2 linked regions of the Lonchura striata genome follow. The protein of the gene in region 2 purifies or fractionates together with the protein of the main gene of each other region. This does not show direct contact. Links are inferred from orthologs where the notes say so. Each region holds a gene or a part of one and is shown on either strand. Other genes may lie near its edges.

Evidence for each region.
Region 1: the proteins of RPP25L (region 2) and IBTK purify together in Homo sapiens (co-immunoprecipitation; 3 studies listed by BioGRID and IntAct, with this or other methods). This does not show direct contact. The link is inferred for Lonchura striata from reciprocal best matches to the Homo sapiens genes RPP25L and IBTK.

Annotation. Positions count from the first base shown.
Region 1 is NC_134605.1:80,675,937-80,683,360, reverse strand, and holds the start of IBTK (inhibitor of Bruton tyrosine kinase), read right to left. Parts: upstream 3,010-7,424; 5' UTR 2,830-3,009; intron 1-2,829. UniProt on the Homo sapiens protein: Acts as an inhibitor of BTK tyrosine kinase activity, thereby playing a role in B-cell development. Down-regulates BTK kinase activity, leading to interference with BTK-mediated calcium mobilization and NF-kappa-B-driven transcription.
Region 2 is NC_134642.1:40,931,723-40,939,169, forward strand, and holds RPP25L (ribonuclease P protein subunit p25-like protein), read left to right. Parts: upstream 1-4,615; 5' UTR 4,616-4,674; intron 4,675-4,839; exon of another isoform or gene 4,840-4,927; intron 4,928-5,136; exon of another isoform or gene 5,137-5,415; intron 5,416-5,587; 5' UTR 5,588-5,596; coding exon 5,597-6,145; 3' UTR 6,146-6,931; downstream 6,932-7,447. Other genes in the region: DCTN3 (dynactin subunit 3), read left to right, coding at 91-177, 1,010-1,093, 1,642-1,700, 2,445-2,504, 2,915-3,004. UniProt on the Homo sapiens protein: May be a component of ribonuclease P or MRP.

The DNA of each region.
Region 1 (7,424 bases), on a different chromosome or scaffold from region 2:
CCCAAAACAGAACTAAGCAATGGTTTCTATTTTTCATATAAAAGAAGCATAGAGCTTTCCTTGTCAATCCTAACACCCTTTCTTTAAAATTTAAAGAAAAAAAAAAGTAAAAATAATACTTTTTCTGAAGGTACTAAATTAATTTTCTTTTCCTTTCCATAGTAAGTTGCTAAGTGAAGTGAGACTGGCAACACCACACATTTCAGGAAAGTTACGTCTATCCTTATAAGGGTATAGCAGTATCTTAAATATTTCCACTGTGGAATGGAAGGGGATTGGTTTTTAAACAAGTGTGCTGACATATCTCCATGTTGGTCCATTTGCATTTGTTTCATAAAACCACAAAAGACCAGTAACCATAACAGCACGGAAGTCCTTAAAATATTTGTACCTAAAGCAAACTTCACTACACAGACTACTTGAATAGTAAGCTAATAAAAAACAGCTTACAGAAATAATGCCATGGGAATTTGCCATCATGTTACCACTTTTCCAGGACTTTCTGTTGACTGTATTCTTACCTAAAGGCAACTTTCACTAATACATATTAAAGTAACAGTTTAGAATCTGACAAATTGACTAGAAAATTGAGGCTAGGTAGTAATACAACAGCCTTTGCACTGGCATTAAGCAAGATATCCTCAAGGAAACACAGATGAATTCCTAGACAAACAAAGCAAGTATACCTTTCAGGTACAGGTAGCACATTGTCCTAGCCTTTAAAGAACAGTCAGACTATTAATTCCTGCTCAGACTACATATCCACAGATAGTTTCAGAATAGTTCACAGTCACATAGTCACAGACATTGCTCAGAAATTCCTTGTACATTTGTTGAAGAATGGGCAAAAATCTATATTTTCCAACCCCTTGAACACAAAATGTTCAAGGGGTTGGAAAGTAATTGAATGTACAAGGGAAAAAAGGTAAATCTAAGCTATGCAGTAGCTAATAATGATTTAGCAGCCTGAAATTCCCTCAGAGAGACCTTTAAAAAAGCAGCTTCTTCTTGACTATATAATAGGAGCATTGAGACACAAAAAAACAAGGGTTCTGCTCTCCTCGATGCACAAAATATCAGAGTCCTGCTTCTAGTTCAGATAGCAAGTTTTAAGAGCAGCAAGTAGATAGAGAAAAGCTTGGAAAGAGCCACTAGGATTCAGAATGTTTATAGAACAACCCCTGAGTACAAGCAAATTGGATCTCTTTTCTCCTTCAGCTGTGGCTTCAGCAGACCACCCAGAGCCTTTGAATAAGGCATCTGTTACACAAAGAAGAAACATCAAAACTCCAGTCCCTTTTACTCCTGACAGTGGACAAATTCCATAAAAGATTCAGATCATATGTCAGGAAGGATTTTCAAATTACAAATTTGAAAATCCTTCCTGACACATAATCTGAACATGAGGCTCTCAAAACAGACTAGACAACAAGCAAACCACTCAAGTTATAAATAAATGTGACCTGTCCAGAGGTAAAGCTACAAAGGAAAACCAACTTGCTTTGAAAGACACCACATTCCACCATGCCCACTGTGTCCCCTGGGTCACAGCAGATCCAAGCTGCTTCATTTACTGGGATGGGGCCTCCATGCCACCACTCAGCACAGGTACACCCCAGAACAAATGACCTTCAGAGGCTCTCTCCAGATTTTCTGTAACTTCCTCCTTCAACAACAACAGCATAATCCTTATCAGAATGAGACATTCAGCAATCCAACAACCCTAATTCAGTTGCTCCTAGCTGAGCTAAGCAGCACTGTCAATTAAAGGCTGACACATCTGTCAAAAAAAGACCAAAGTACCACTGGTAGCTAAATTCAGCTGCAAACGTCAGAGCACATCTATTAGTTGGGAATCATTGTACATAAACAGTAAACTGTGAACTACTGTGCTGTGCCTTGTCTAGAAATACTCAGGACTTCCTATGTTTAATAACTTAATACTGTTTAAAAAAATTAAAGTGCTATAGGCAAAAGTACAGTGAATGCAGCTACAGCCACTTCCACAATCCATCAAGACCTTGTTATAGGCTTTATTGAAACAATAATGCTGAAGGGAAGTTAAACACAACAAACCACAAGCGTGCACTAGAACTTCACCCCACTTCAAAATATGTCCGAAAAATCACCAAGGACTTTTCCATCTTAGGAAAAGGTGACGTTTTTGATTTAACTGTGAATTTCTGGTACAGTTTTATTGCAGACAACCCACACCAGATGCTGGTGGGCGATTACTATTTTTTGTAAACCACAAACTGTGACCACTTTCCATAAAGATAGACAACTACACTGACCACATACCCAAAAAAATAAACACTTGCATTTCGCCTAGGAAGACTGCATGGAAGTATCCCTTACAGATAACTACGAGACCGCGGCTCTCCAGTGCTTACGGTGCTGGTCTAACTCAGCAGCACTGTGAGTTGCTACAAAAACAGGCAAGTATCACCAAGAAGGAGAAACACGCCAGGCTTTCCCTGAATCCACAGCTAAGGAAACCTGGCAAGAAGCGCGTGTCAGAGTCAGGGAGGAGGAAGGTCTGAAGTGCTTCAAGGAGCCAGGGGCAGGCAGAGGGCAGGGGGCCATTCTGACTGCCACTACAGCGTCCACGTAGCCGAGGGGCGAAGAGAGACACAAGAGACCTATTGACACAGGCGACCGAGCCACGAAGCCGGTCTCCTCCCATCCTACGTGGCCGGCTGCCCTTCAGCCTCCCTGGCTGCCTTGCCCGGAGCTCTCCCCATTCCTTCAGCCGCCCACCGCCGCCGTCCCGACCCCTCCGGCAGGACCCGTCTCCGAGCGGCTCCCCGCCGGACGCCCGCCCCTCACCAGTCGCTAGATGAATGGACTCCGGCGGGCAGGGCGGGACGCTCGCTGGGCAGCGCGGGGGCTCATCCTCAGTGACTCCGGGGCAGGGCCAGGCTGGGGCGCAGCCGCTACCGCGACAGCTCCGCCGGCGACAGCGGCGGCGACAGGCGGGGCCGCGGCTCGGCGGGGCGCACCGACGGCGGCCAGCGCACCCACCAAGAAGCGGAACGCCGATTGGCCGCGGCGCCGCCGCACCTCGCGCGCCGATTGGCTGCGGCTGCCGGCTCGGCCCCGCCCCCGCGGCCGAGCCCGGATTGACTGACAGGTGGGGTCAGGGTGGGGGCGGGCCAGCAGGAGGGAGCGGGGCAGGGGCGGGGCGCGGTGCCGCAGGGGTTAACCCGGACGGGCGGCGGGTGCGGGGATCGCTCCCTGTGCCGGGCACGGAAGGGACTGGAGTTATCGGGGAGCAGCGAGGGGAAAGGGCAGCAGCTGAGCGGCCTCCTGCTGGCAGTCTTGGCAGGAGAAACACCGTGCCTTGCTGCGAAGGAGGGGCATGAGTGGCTGGTAAGGTCATGCTCCCTCCTGGAGGGCTCAACAGCAAATAAATACCCAACCTAGAGATCCCTCGAAGTAATGGAGAGAAAGCGCGGAGAAGGCTGTGCCGATTCAGCCTGTGTTAAGCCACAGCAGTTTCTCTCTCTGAGAGAACAAGTGGTCTGATGTATGGGATACAGCTTGATTCTTTGTGAGGCTTTTGACACCATCTCGGGTCAGCCTCGTAAGCAAACCTGGTGTGTGCGCAAGGATTTGCACACCTGCTCTTGTGACTCCTGCCAAGCACTCCGTGAGGGCTCAGTTCTTTTTGGTGGATGTGAAACATGCATATTTTATTATTAGCCTTTTGCAAATTATAGAATGAATATTATATGTTTAATGTTAGAAAGTTATGCTGTATTAATTCTCTTAAGTAGTGTATTAAATATAGTTCCAGGTTATAACATAATGTTAAAATAGAAACTATTCAATGTAAGATATTTTTTACTAGCTCAAGAAAAGGGATAAGATAATCAAGAAACTGCACAGAGGTAGCAGCAACACAAAACCTGAGGAGGTTTCCTCTTATCAGAAAAGACAAACATTCTTCCACCTTCTCTGTTTTTATGGAACCACCAGGATTAAGGGGAAGAAGTTGACATAAACCAGAAAAATTCTTAATTTGCAAGGAATTTATGCATCATGTATGAGGTATATGAATATGCAACAGGCTATTGCTTTTAAGGGTTATTCCTTTGTTCACAAGGCATATTTTTGGCATCTTAGTGCCCAAAAACATCCGGATGTCCTTAATTCTTTGTTTTTTATTGTCTTGTAGTGCCCTAATACTCATTGTCCAAATTTTTATTACTCTAATTTTATTACTAATAAACTTTTAAGATTTAAAAAAACAAGTGATTGGTGTTTTTCACAGTGGATGTCTTAGGTGATGCAATAGGTGGCACAGATTACCAATTAATCTGGGACAGGATTAGGGTGTACTGTTTAAAGGCAGGAAGCTGAACTCAAGACAAGCTTGAATTGGGTTGTCAGCTCAACAATGTAAAATACAGAGTAAAACAAATACATATCACCTTTAAAAAAATAAATATATGTTTTTTTTCCCAAGAAATATACTAATAATGTATTGACATTAGTGTAATGGATTCCTATGTGTTTTTTAAAGCCACAGTATTATCCAATGCAGTGTAAGCATTGTGACCTTAAAACAAAACGTAGCTATCTTTAGATCCACAAAACAGTTGAAAAAAAAGTTATTAATGTTCTTCAGCATGTTCTTCAGCAGCAGTTCAATTTGGGAAAGATTCAGTATGAATTGTATTTAGGTGAATCTCAAGCATTTTTACCTGTGCCATCTGACACAGTTAATGTGAACTATAAAATATGCTCTCTGATTTTCTCTGTATACGTGTTTAGTTTGCCAGCAGCCATTCACCATTGTAACCAAAACTGCAACCTACGTGAAATTTATTTATGCATTATTTTCCCAGTGACAGTTTCTTAGTGTTTCAGTTACAAACAAAGGTCGGAGGTGGCTGTGCCCCAGGTCTGCTGCCAGCTGGCCTAAGGACAGAGATGACCATCTGGGGAGATGAGGAGATCCAAATACAGCTGAAGTCAGTTGTAAGCAATGCTTTGTTGCATAATAACAAATTCAAGTGAATAGCCTGGACCGACTCTGGAGCAGCAGAGAGCATGATGGAAAGATGAAGAGGCTTGAGACAGAATAATATCTAAAATTCTATATGAAAAAGATAGTTTCTGGAAGCTGGACTGCCCCTCACATCTTTCATAATAAATACTACTGTAAAGAATAGAAAAGTGCAGCAAACAACACAGAAAAGTGGGAAAATAACAGAGTCATGAATAGGACCTGATAGAGTCCAAGTCAGACAAAACCTTGACAGAATAACCAAAAGCTTTTAGCAATCGTTTTCTATGCAAGAGTTTTATCTTTGCAGGACTTTTAATATATTCATGGAAAAATAAGATATTAACTGCTTTCCCTGTTTTTTATTGTTTAGGTTTTTCTAATTGACCCCAGCTTACAGGTCAGTAATAAAAATTCCTACTATCTTGTACTGCCTCTGCAAAAGCAGCAGCAAATTAGTGAACACCATTCACAGAACCAGACTGCTACAGCTTGATTTGCAGAGCTATGTTGAGGTGCTAAAGTAATATTGAAAAACAAAAGTAGCTCAAACAGGGTAACTTGAGCCTCTGTTTAAATTACTTGTTTTGGTTTGGGTTTTTCTACTGTGGAAAATTACAACACTGTTGCAAAAAAAATACACTATTTTGAGTCTTTCGGAAAAAATTACAGATGTGGAGATGAAATGCCAGCAACAAATCACTGAAGAGTATTTTTAATTGGGTAGTCCAACAGCCAGGTTTGCACGTTCATGACACACGTAGCATGTGTCTGTCAATAAAGAATTGTTCTTCTGGCTTTTTTCAGTCTGTTATGAAAAGATCTGAATTATCAGAAATAAACAAGTAATTATAGGAAAAAATATGTCTTTAACTGCTGTTGTTACTTTTTATAGAAGCGCTAAACTTTAATCCATAAAAAGGAAGGAAGAGCAACACTTTAAAAGGAAAACCAGTATACGTAGCCATCTTCAGAATTTGAGGAGGAACATCAATTTTGAGCAACTTAACTAGCCTACAGAGTGTATTTTTGTCTTAATATGCTTCTCAGTTCATTGACTGTTGAAGAATTACAAATTGGCTGTGCTCTAAATGTGTGTACTTATTTAAGGTTAGGGAAGATAAATCTAGGCTATAGAGAGGACATTACCACATTAGACCGCTTTCTAGTGACCTATTAATCTTATCCATCCATCCATCCATCCATTGTAGTCTGCACCAGACTTAGGCTACTGGAGGAATTAGAGGAGGAAATGTAAGTGACAGAAAGGAAAAAAAGGACTTTGTGCTTTATTCTTTCTGAAATTTATCCTGAATGTTGTGGAAAAAAGAGTGATTCTTTTTTAAGTAATCAAAAAGTTCAATCTATATATCAAAATTAAAAAGAATTATTTTTTTCCTTTTTGGCTATACTAAATGTCAAGTGACAGATTGCTGCCTTCATATATCTCTTAATGTGCCTAATTATTACCAGTGTCCTCTGTAACCTTGAGTAATAGCTGTTATTGGCAGCAGTAATAATCTGCTGAAGAAAATATTAATCAGGCTTAACTTCTGATACTAAAAGTGTTTCTCATAATCCTTCTCTTTAATGAACTTAAAAAAAAGAAGGGTATAATATGCTAGAAAATTCATATTACAGAATTAATAAAACAAAATTCAATGTAACGCCTCTTAGAAGGGCAAGCTTGCAAAAAGAATTATCTCCAAATTTACTAAAACTATGTGCATCTTGCTTTAACAAAGCTTATCCTCTTACTCAGACAGGGTCATTAAATTCCTGGTGTATAAGAGTCTAAGAAAAGTGTGAAGAAGTCCAAGGATTAAACAGAGTGGAAATGACAGTGGTGATGGATATGGGCTTCCCAACCTGATCCATCTACTTGAGAGTTCCCCTGTGAAGTAGGAAATAGAGATGTGATGAGTATCCAGGAGCTTTCTCTCAGCAAATCATGGCTCCAGAAAAGCAAGTTCTTCGTCTTGCATGGCTGGAACACTTCCATGTAGCTGTGCCATGTCAGAAACTCCAACATCTCCTCATTAGCTTGCAAGATTTCCAGCTTCTCTAATTAGACTTTTGGAGCCTCTCTTATGCCCAGGGTAGATTTTCTGTTATTGTAGTATTCCAGAGACACAGAAAGGACAGTTTGTTATCAGTGATATGAGGCGTGTGTGGTGACAATGCATTGTCCCCTGTTTTTTTCAGAATTCCCATAATTTTAAAAAATGTTTTGTAAAGTCCTGTGATAAATAGCCTAACATACATGAAACAAAAATTATATTGGCATCCCACAGGTACTAAAAGAACTTTTGTGTGACCTGGTAAAGGGACAGTTATTAGAAAGTAATCTTCAATAAAAATGGAGACTACAGTACATGTAAAGTTATTGCAGTATTATCTGTTGTGATGT
Region 2 (7,447 bases):
ATGTCAGGATCTGCTCTCCATGAAATGCTGCTCTTATGAATGCCATAACATCTCCCTACTTTTCGTCTCCAAACCTATTTATCCCTCCAGTTGAAGATATAATAAAATACCTTGACCCCCAGTACATTGACAGGATGGCTGTTCCAGACACTATGAAGCTGCAGTTCATCTTGGCAGGTATGAGATGAGGGGAAAGAGGAGGCTTTTGTAGCACTGCAAATAAAGCATCCTTTCTCTAAGATGGGTCAGGATGAATTTATTTTCTTCAGTGGTAAAATGTGGCACGGCAGGCCCTGTGGAGGTATCAGAGAGATGGTTTGCACAAGGGTGTCTGTCACCCTCAGTGCTCCCTTGTGCACAGCCACACTGCAGTTTTGTCAGCTCTGATCTCTTCTGTATTGATCATTCAATTTAGCCCCAAATTCATCAAAGGCTGGTAAGAAAAGCGGGAGCTAGGATGATTTCCTTACCCCACTTCAGTATTCTCCAGGCTGGGACAATTGGGTGTGTTTTGACATCCCCTAGCCTTGTCCTCTCTTGACCCAAGGAGTTTGATCAACCCGTGACCAGTATAATCTGTCAGTGGAATTCCACTGAATCACGGAATGTTAAGGGGGTGGAAGGGAACTTAAGGACCATCCAGTCCCAATCCACCTTCCCCAGCTTTCCCAGGTTGCTCAGACTCCATCCAACCTGGCATTGAACACTGCCAGGGATGGAGCATCCACATCCTCCTGGGCACCTTCACAGTAAAGAATCTTCTCCTAATATCCAGCCTAAATTTCCCCTCTTTCCATTTGTACACTCCTTGTCCTATCATTAGAACGTGGTGGAGATTCTCCTGCCTGAAATTGGTGTCAGTCAAGACCCAGGGATGAGCAGCACAAAAGTGATGAAAAATCATGAATCCTTTCTGTAAAGACAGATCAGCTGGGAAAATTACCACTAGTGAAAAGCCAGAGCAGTGTTTTGTGTTTACTGATGTTGCTTCTTGTCCCCACACAACCAGAGGAACAGGCTATTCCTGCCCGTGCAGCCCTTCTGGAGCAAGTGAAGAACCTCCAGCCTATCTTGGACAGCACCAGTATCCAAGGTATGCATGTTCTGCAAGCTGGAGCTGCAAATGCCACCTGCTAAGCTGTGGCCTGTCCTGCTTGCTTTCTTTTCTCTTGAGTCTGAGACTAGAGAAGAAGACAGCTTAGTGGTGTGAAAGTAAACTGAGTACAAAGTTAGTCTGCTCCTGCCACATGCTGCCCTAGTCTCCCTTGCAAAGTCATGGAGGTGATAGAGTAGCTTGTGAAGCAGGCTAAAGAGAGCACTGTGGCAGAGGGGGTGGAGCCTGGCAGGTCATTCCTTCCTGTGAGCTGTTTTACATCCAGAATATCTGTTCTGGCCAGTGGTTTAGTCCCGTGTGTTTCGTGAGTAGCCCTCGCTGTGGGCATCCCTGAGCTTGTGCCATGTGCAGGATAGTTATGTAATTTTTTTTATCCTCTGTGAGTTTTATCTATAGTGTGGGACACTTGCACTCAGCAAGTGGAGTTCTGCCATGCTGTGCTCATGGAGGAAGACTGGGGTTTACGTTGGGAGCTAATCCCATGTGCTGTAAAACAGCCCAAACTGATTTCTCTTTTGTGCTTCCAGCGGTTCCTGACCATGCAGCCAAACTGCAGAGGCTCTCACAGATCCACATACAGCAGCAGGTACCGTGAACATTCCTATAAGTATTGAGTAGAAGGGCCTAGAAACCTTTTACAAGTGGCTGTACTGACACCCAGTATTTGTAATTGCTTGAATTGCTCATTTATGGCAGTTCTTTGCAATCTGAATTTTCATACTACAGTCTTAAAGAAGTTTTAAGTACTCCTAGGGGAAAAAGGAGCCAGGATTTCTGTGAATTTGGTCCAAGTTGGAAATTTGCCCACCATAACCCTGCTCAAAACAGCTTTCAGTGACACATAGTAAGGGACATTTGGTTTAACCATCTTGAATTCCCCCTTTTACTGAGACTCTGAGGTGAAGCATTGCTCTCCTCCAGTGTCCTACTCTCTGGAACGTTGTTGACACTGTCAGCCTGTCCCTTCACCCTTTCCCTCCCTGTATGAGCACTCTTGGAGCTGGCAGTGAGCAGCCTGGGCAGTTCCTAATGGTCTCTTTCAGCATTTTGTTCTGAGTTTCTGTTCCGGGGCAAGCAAAGCCTGGATACTGAGGAAAGGCAAGCAGCAGTGCAAGCCTGGGGGGTTTGCTGCTTCATGGGACCAGTGTTTGTCAGTTTTCTCTTAATTGTGAAAACCTGTCCAGCTGCAGTGGGCACCACAGCCAGGGCCTGAGCACTGATCTCAGTGCTGGCCTTGGATGAGTTTCCTGCCATGCTGTCGTGGACTGGGAAGGGAGGTATGTTGTTCACCTTATTTATTGATCATGCACTGCGGCTCCCCTCTTCACAGGAGAAGCGTCACGATCTCACTGACAGTGTCAAGACACTCCTTGAGGATTACAACAAAATGGTATCCTTTAAAATGCCTGGAACTCCTGAACTGACTCCTTCCCCTGGCTGATCCCATTGCATCTCCAGCCTGGGGTTTAACAGCCTTTCTGATGGGGTGACACCTATGTCACTGTCCTGGCTGCGAAGGATCCCAATGCTGAGGCACATCCCAAAGCCAGAGTGGGTAGGGAAGCTGTGGAAAGCCCTTGCATGGCGGTGGTGTGTGGAGTTCACAAAGTACCTCCTGGACTCCCATGGGTGTATGGTGCTGTGCAGTGGCTCAGCCACTGGGTGGAGTGAATCCATGAAGTGCCTTGGTGCCCTGGGCCTCTCCTAAGGAATCAAAATTGTAATGGTGCTGTCAGGATGCTCTGACCTAGGTTTCTTCCTCACAGTTTCCACATAACTTTCCTTAAGTGTTGTGTCCAGACTTTGCTTCTCTCCAAGCAGTTTGTGCAGTGGAATGAAATCCTGACACGCCTGGAAGTGGCCAAACAAGCAAAACCTGTGGCAGAGTGATGGCAGAGCTGGGAGAGTGGCATGTCCAGAGCCCCTGTGGCACAGCTTGCATCCTGCTGGTCTCAGCTCCTTCCTGCTTGGTGCGAGCATGCTGAAGTGACGCAGCAGGATCCTGGAGCACCCAGCTCTGTGCAGAACTGTGCCAGCCGCCAGTCAAAGCCACACTGCTCCTTAATCTGCCACTGTTTGCAAATCTTTTATTTCTCTGAAATGCATCTCAGTTTTAATGTATTTCAAAACCCCATTTCTGTGCTTACTGTGGGCCATAGTAAAGTCCTGGAATGCTAACTGGGTTGTCTGTCTCTCCCTCAGTGTGAGGACTGCTCCTGGCACAGACTGGGGATATTTCCCCAGGCAGTGATCTCTTTGCAGCCTCCAGGAAACGGCTAGTGGTTCCTTTCAGCCTTGGGCCAAGGGCAGGGAAACCATTTCCACACTCTTCCTGTTTGTGTGAGTTGTCTGCCCAGGAGAATCTGGTCTTAGGGATCTTTTCTGCCTTGCTGTTCTCCTATCTGTGTGCTGAGAGAAGGTAGCAGCTTTTGCCTTTATCCTGCCTCTGCTTTCCTGAGGCTGCTGCAGTCTAAGGCCCGTTCTGGCTCTTTGCCTTTCTAGAGGGAGGCATAGGCCATGCCTTGCCTGGTCTGGCTGTAGCATGGAGTTTCCAAGGCCATACTTTTGCAAGGGTCTCAAACCCTTCAGGTCGGTGAAACACTGCCCAGCTGAGTGTGACCCTGGGAGTCCTGCAGGAACGGGCAGAATGCCCACAGGAATTCCAGAAGAGCTCGCCGGTCCCAGAGCTGTTTCTGATCAGCAGCCTCGCTGGCTGTCAAACCACGGTGGGGCTGCAGGCCTGCGGAAAAGCCCCGCTCCCTGCAGCTGCCCGAGGAGCTGAGGTGAGGGTCAGGGTTAGGGTCGGGGTTAGGGTCGGGGTTGGGGTTAGGTTGAGGGTTAGGGTCAGGGTTAGGGTTGAGGTTTAGGGTCAGGGTGAGGGTTAGGGTCGGGGTTAGGGTTGAGGTTAGGGTGAGGGTTAGGGTCAGGGTTAGGGTGAGGTTTAGGGTCAGGGCTAGGGTCAGGGTGAGGGTTAGGGTCAGGGTTAGGATCGGGGTGAGGGTGAGGGTTAGGGTCAAGGTTAGGGTGAGGTTTAGGGCCAGGGCTAAGGTCAGGGTTTAGGGTCAGGGTCAGCGTTAGGGTTGGGGTGAGGGTTAGGGTTAGGGTTGAGGTTAGGGTGAGGTTGAGGTTTAGGGTGAGGGTTAGGGTTAGGGTGAGGTTTAGGGTCAGGGTTAGGTTCAGGGTCAGAGTTAGGGTTAGGGTTGAGGTTAGGGTGAGCTTGAGGTTTAGGGTCAGGGTTAGGGTGAGGTTTAGGGTCAGGGTCAGAGTTAGGGTTGGGGTTAGGGTTGGGGTGAGGGTTAGGGTCAGGGTTGGGGTTAGGGTTAGGGTCAGGGTTAGGGTGAGGTTTAGGGTCAGGGTCAGGGTTATGGAGAGGTTTAGGGTCAGGGTTTAGGGTTAGGTTTGGGGACGCCGTGCCGCGCGGGGCCCGCAGCTCGCCCCGCCCCCGCTGTCACCGCCGTGCGATTGGCGCGCGCCTCCTTCGGGCCCCGCCCGCCTCGCGCGTGCGCGCGCCCGGCGCCGGCCGCCATCTTGTGTCGAGGCGCGCGCTGCGGCGGCCGCAGGTGAGCGCGGGCTCCGCGCGCCCGTCCGGGACCTCCCTGGCTCCCACCGGCATTCCCGCATCCCGCCGCGCTCTCCGGCTCCCCCCGGCGCCCCCCGGCGCTCTCCGGCTCCCCCCGGCGCCCCGGGCTCCGATGGCGGCGGCGGCCGCGTGAGGGCCCGGGCCTCGTGTGCTCCCAGGGTTCGGAGCGTGTGCCGAGGAGGACGCGGTGCGGGGTGCAGGGTCTGGGCGCAGCGGGACTCAGGAGCCTGCGGGTAACAAAGTACTGCGACCTTCAGCCCCTTGAGCTGTGCGGTGGGGACGTGGGCTGCCCTGCACAGGGTCAAGCAGACCTAGGACAGGATGGCACCTGCCTTGGCACAGACGGCAGCTGCGAGGCCTGGCCTTTCTGTCCTTCCCTCGAGGAAATGTTTTTTTATTCCTGCAACCCCTGGCTTGCCATCTCCCTTGTGACATGCAGTGTTTTAGCCTCAGCTAGGCTGGTCAGGTCTCCATGAGCCTGTATTTGTACACGACTTGCTGCATGTAAATTGTGCTTGAATTTGTCCTGTGCATGTTCTGGTGTGGCAAGCATCCCCGAGTTCTGTTCTCAGTCACCCCAGCTCACTTTTTGTTCTGTCTTCTCTTGAGATACAGCAGTGTTTTCATGTCACCATGGTTAAGCCCACAACACTAACACTTGCTTTTTTCACAGCCTGCTTGCCAAAACTCAGGCTGCCCTGTGGTATCATTCATATTGTAAGTATGTCCTTAAGAGGACTGGGCTAATATTTTGGTTGTCCCTTTCCAGGATTTCCCAACCCTGATAGTTCAGAGTGCCCTTCAGAGAAAAGCTTGTGGCTAAATGTGGTGAGAGTTTCTTTGGGCAGCAATTAGAGTGGGCAGTGTGTTCATGGGTCTGTTTTCCTTTTCAGCATTGCAGAATGGAGAACTATAAGAAGACCAAAATTGTGGAGAAACCTTGTCCTCCTCCTTTCACTGACCTGCCTGCTGATATTATTGAAATGAAGGTGAAGGACGGGAGCAAAATTAGGAATCTGATGGGCTATGCCATGAGCAAGATGGAGCAGGACTCAGTGAGGCAGATTCTTTTCACTGGCTCAGGCAAGGCTGTTAGCAAGACCATTACCTGTGTGGAAATCATGAAACGAAGGCTCAAGGAGCTGCACCAGATCACCAAAGTGCTCTTCAAACAGATTGAAGAAATCTGGGAACCCATTGTGCCTGAGGCAGGCCTCGATGCCTTGACAGTGAAGAGAAACATTCCTGCCATATGTGTCCTGCTGAGCAAAGATGCCCTGGATCCTCAGGAGTCAGGATACCAGGCCCCAGGATCTTTTGATGCCTTCTGGACTGAGACACTGAAAGCAGAATCACAGGGCCAGATGAAGAGGAAGCAGGGTGGAGGCCGGGGAGCTGCCAGCACAGGGAAGCACCCTCGCTCCACCAGGGGAATGCCGTGGGGGCCCTGAGGCGGCAGATCCGCACGTGGTTCAGGGGAGCTGCAGAAACCAGCCCGGGGCTGTGGCTGCACGGCTGCTGCTGAACACAGGGGTTCACAGAGGTGTGAGGGGAGGGCAGGAGGAGCAGACTGTTAAACTGGGTGTGATGATAGCTGTCTGAAAATGTGTTTTGACAAGTTCCCTTGCCAGGGGCTGCCAGGCTGTACTCCTTAGGGGATCGTGGAAGATGGGAATTGCCTCTTCTTGAGCAAGAACAGTTGGTGTGCTGTCAGTGAGCCCCAGAGAAGCACTGCTAACCCAGTGGGGTTTCAGGTGCTTGGGTGTGCAGCAGCCCAGGCAGCGGGACAGACACCTGTCTGTGTGCCAGGTGCAGGTTGCTCTGACCAGTACAGAGGGGAGACAGGACCTGATCTGGAATCCTCAGGCAGCTGCCTGCATCACCTGGGCTCATGAAGTGTACAGACAGCAGGGCACAGGGCTGGGCCAGCCATTTCTGTGCCTGAAGAATCCTTCTGCTGAGCCTGTTGAGGGGGTTGAATGTAGGAGTGCCAGGATACAGCTCTGGCATCATGTGCATGTAGCTCCTTGGCTCAGCAGAGCTGGCGGTCCTGGTTCTCTCCAAACAGGCAGCAGTCAACTCACGCTGTAGCCAGCCTGAAATCTTGTGGCTCTGCAGCTGTCCTGGGGTGGTGGTAATAGGAAGCTCCAAAGGATCCTGTTCTTTCCCCTTTCTGCTCCTTGAAAATGCGCAAAGATGGCTTTAAAATAAAGATGTAACTTCATGTAACTTGGAAATTTGTCATGTCTTACTGATCCCACTGGAGGTCACCCTGTAAGCATTGGTGGTGGAGTTGTGGCTGCTGGCTGAAGCTCTACTCTTCCAGCCTTCCTGCTGCTCTGTGTTTGTTCCTCTCATGACTGTATATGGACCCTGATCCAAGGGGAGGTTAATAACCTCCTTTCACATCCAAAATAGATCAAGGTTCTGGTGTTTTCCTCTGAAGTTTTTTGCTAATTGTTTTTCTCTGCTTTAAAATGGCTGGAACTGCAGCCTCAAAAAGACTCGTCCGGAACTCTGCTGAGTGATGCAAAGGATGTATCGTCTTTTCTTGTGCACTAGTTTCCCTTCTGGAACAGGTCTGGTGAGTGATTCTGGGCCAGAGAGAAAGGCTATTCCTGTGACGGGCTGAGCTCCTGCCTCAAGAGAGCTCACTCCTGTCCTGAGCACTCCCTGTCCTTCCCGTGTGCTTGTGCAGGGAGCTCCAGCTGGACCCACGCTCTGTGCTGTCAGTTAAATAGTAGCAATACAAG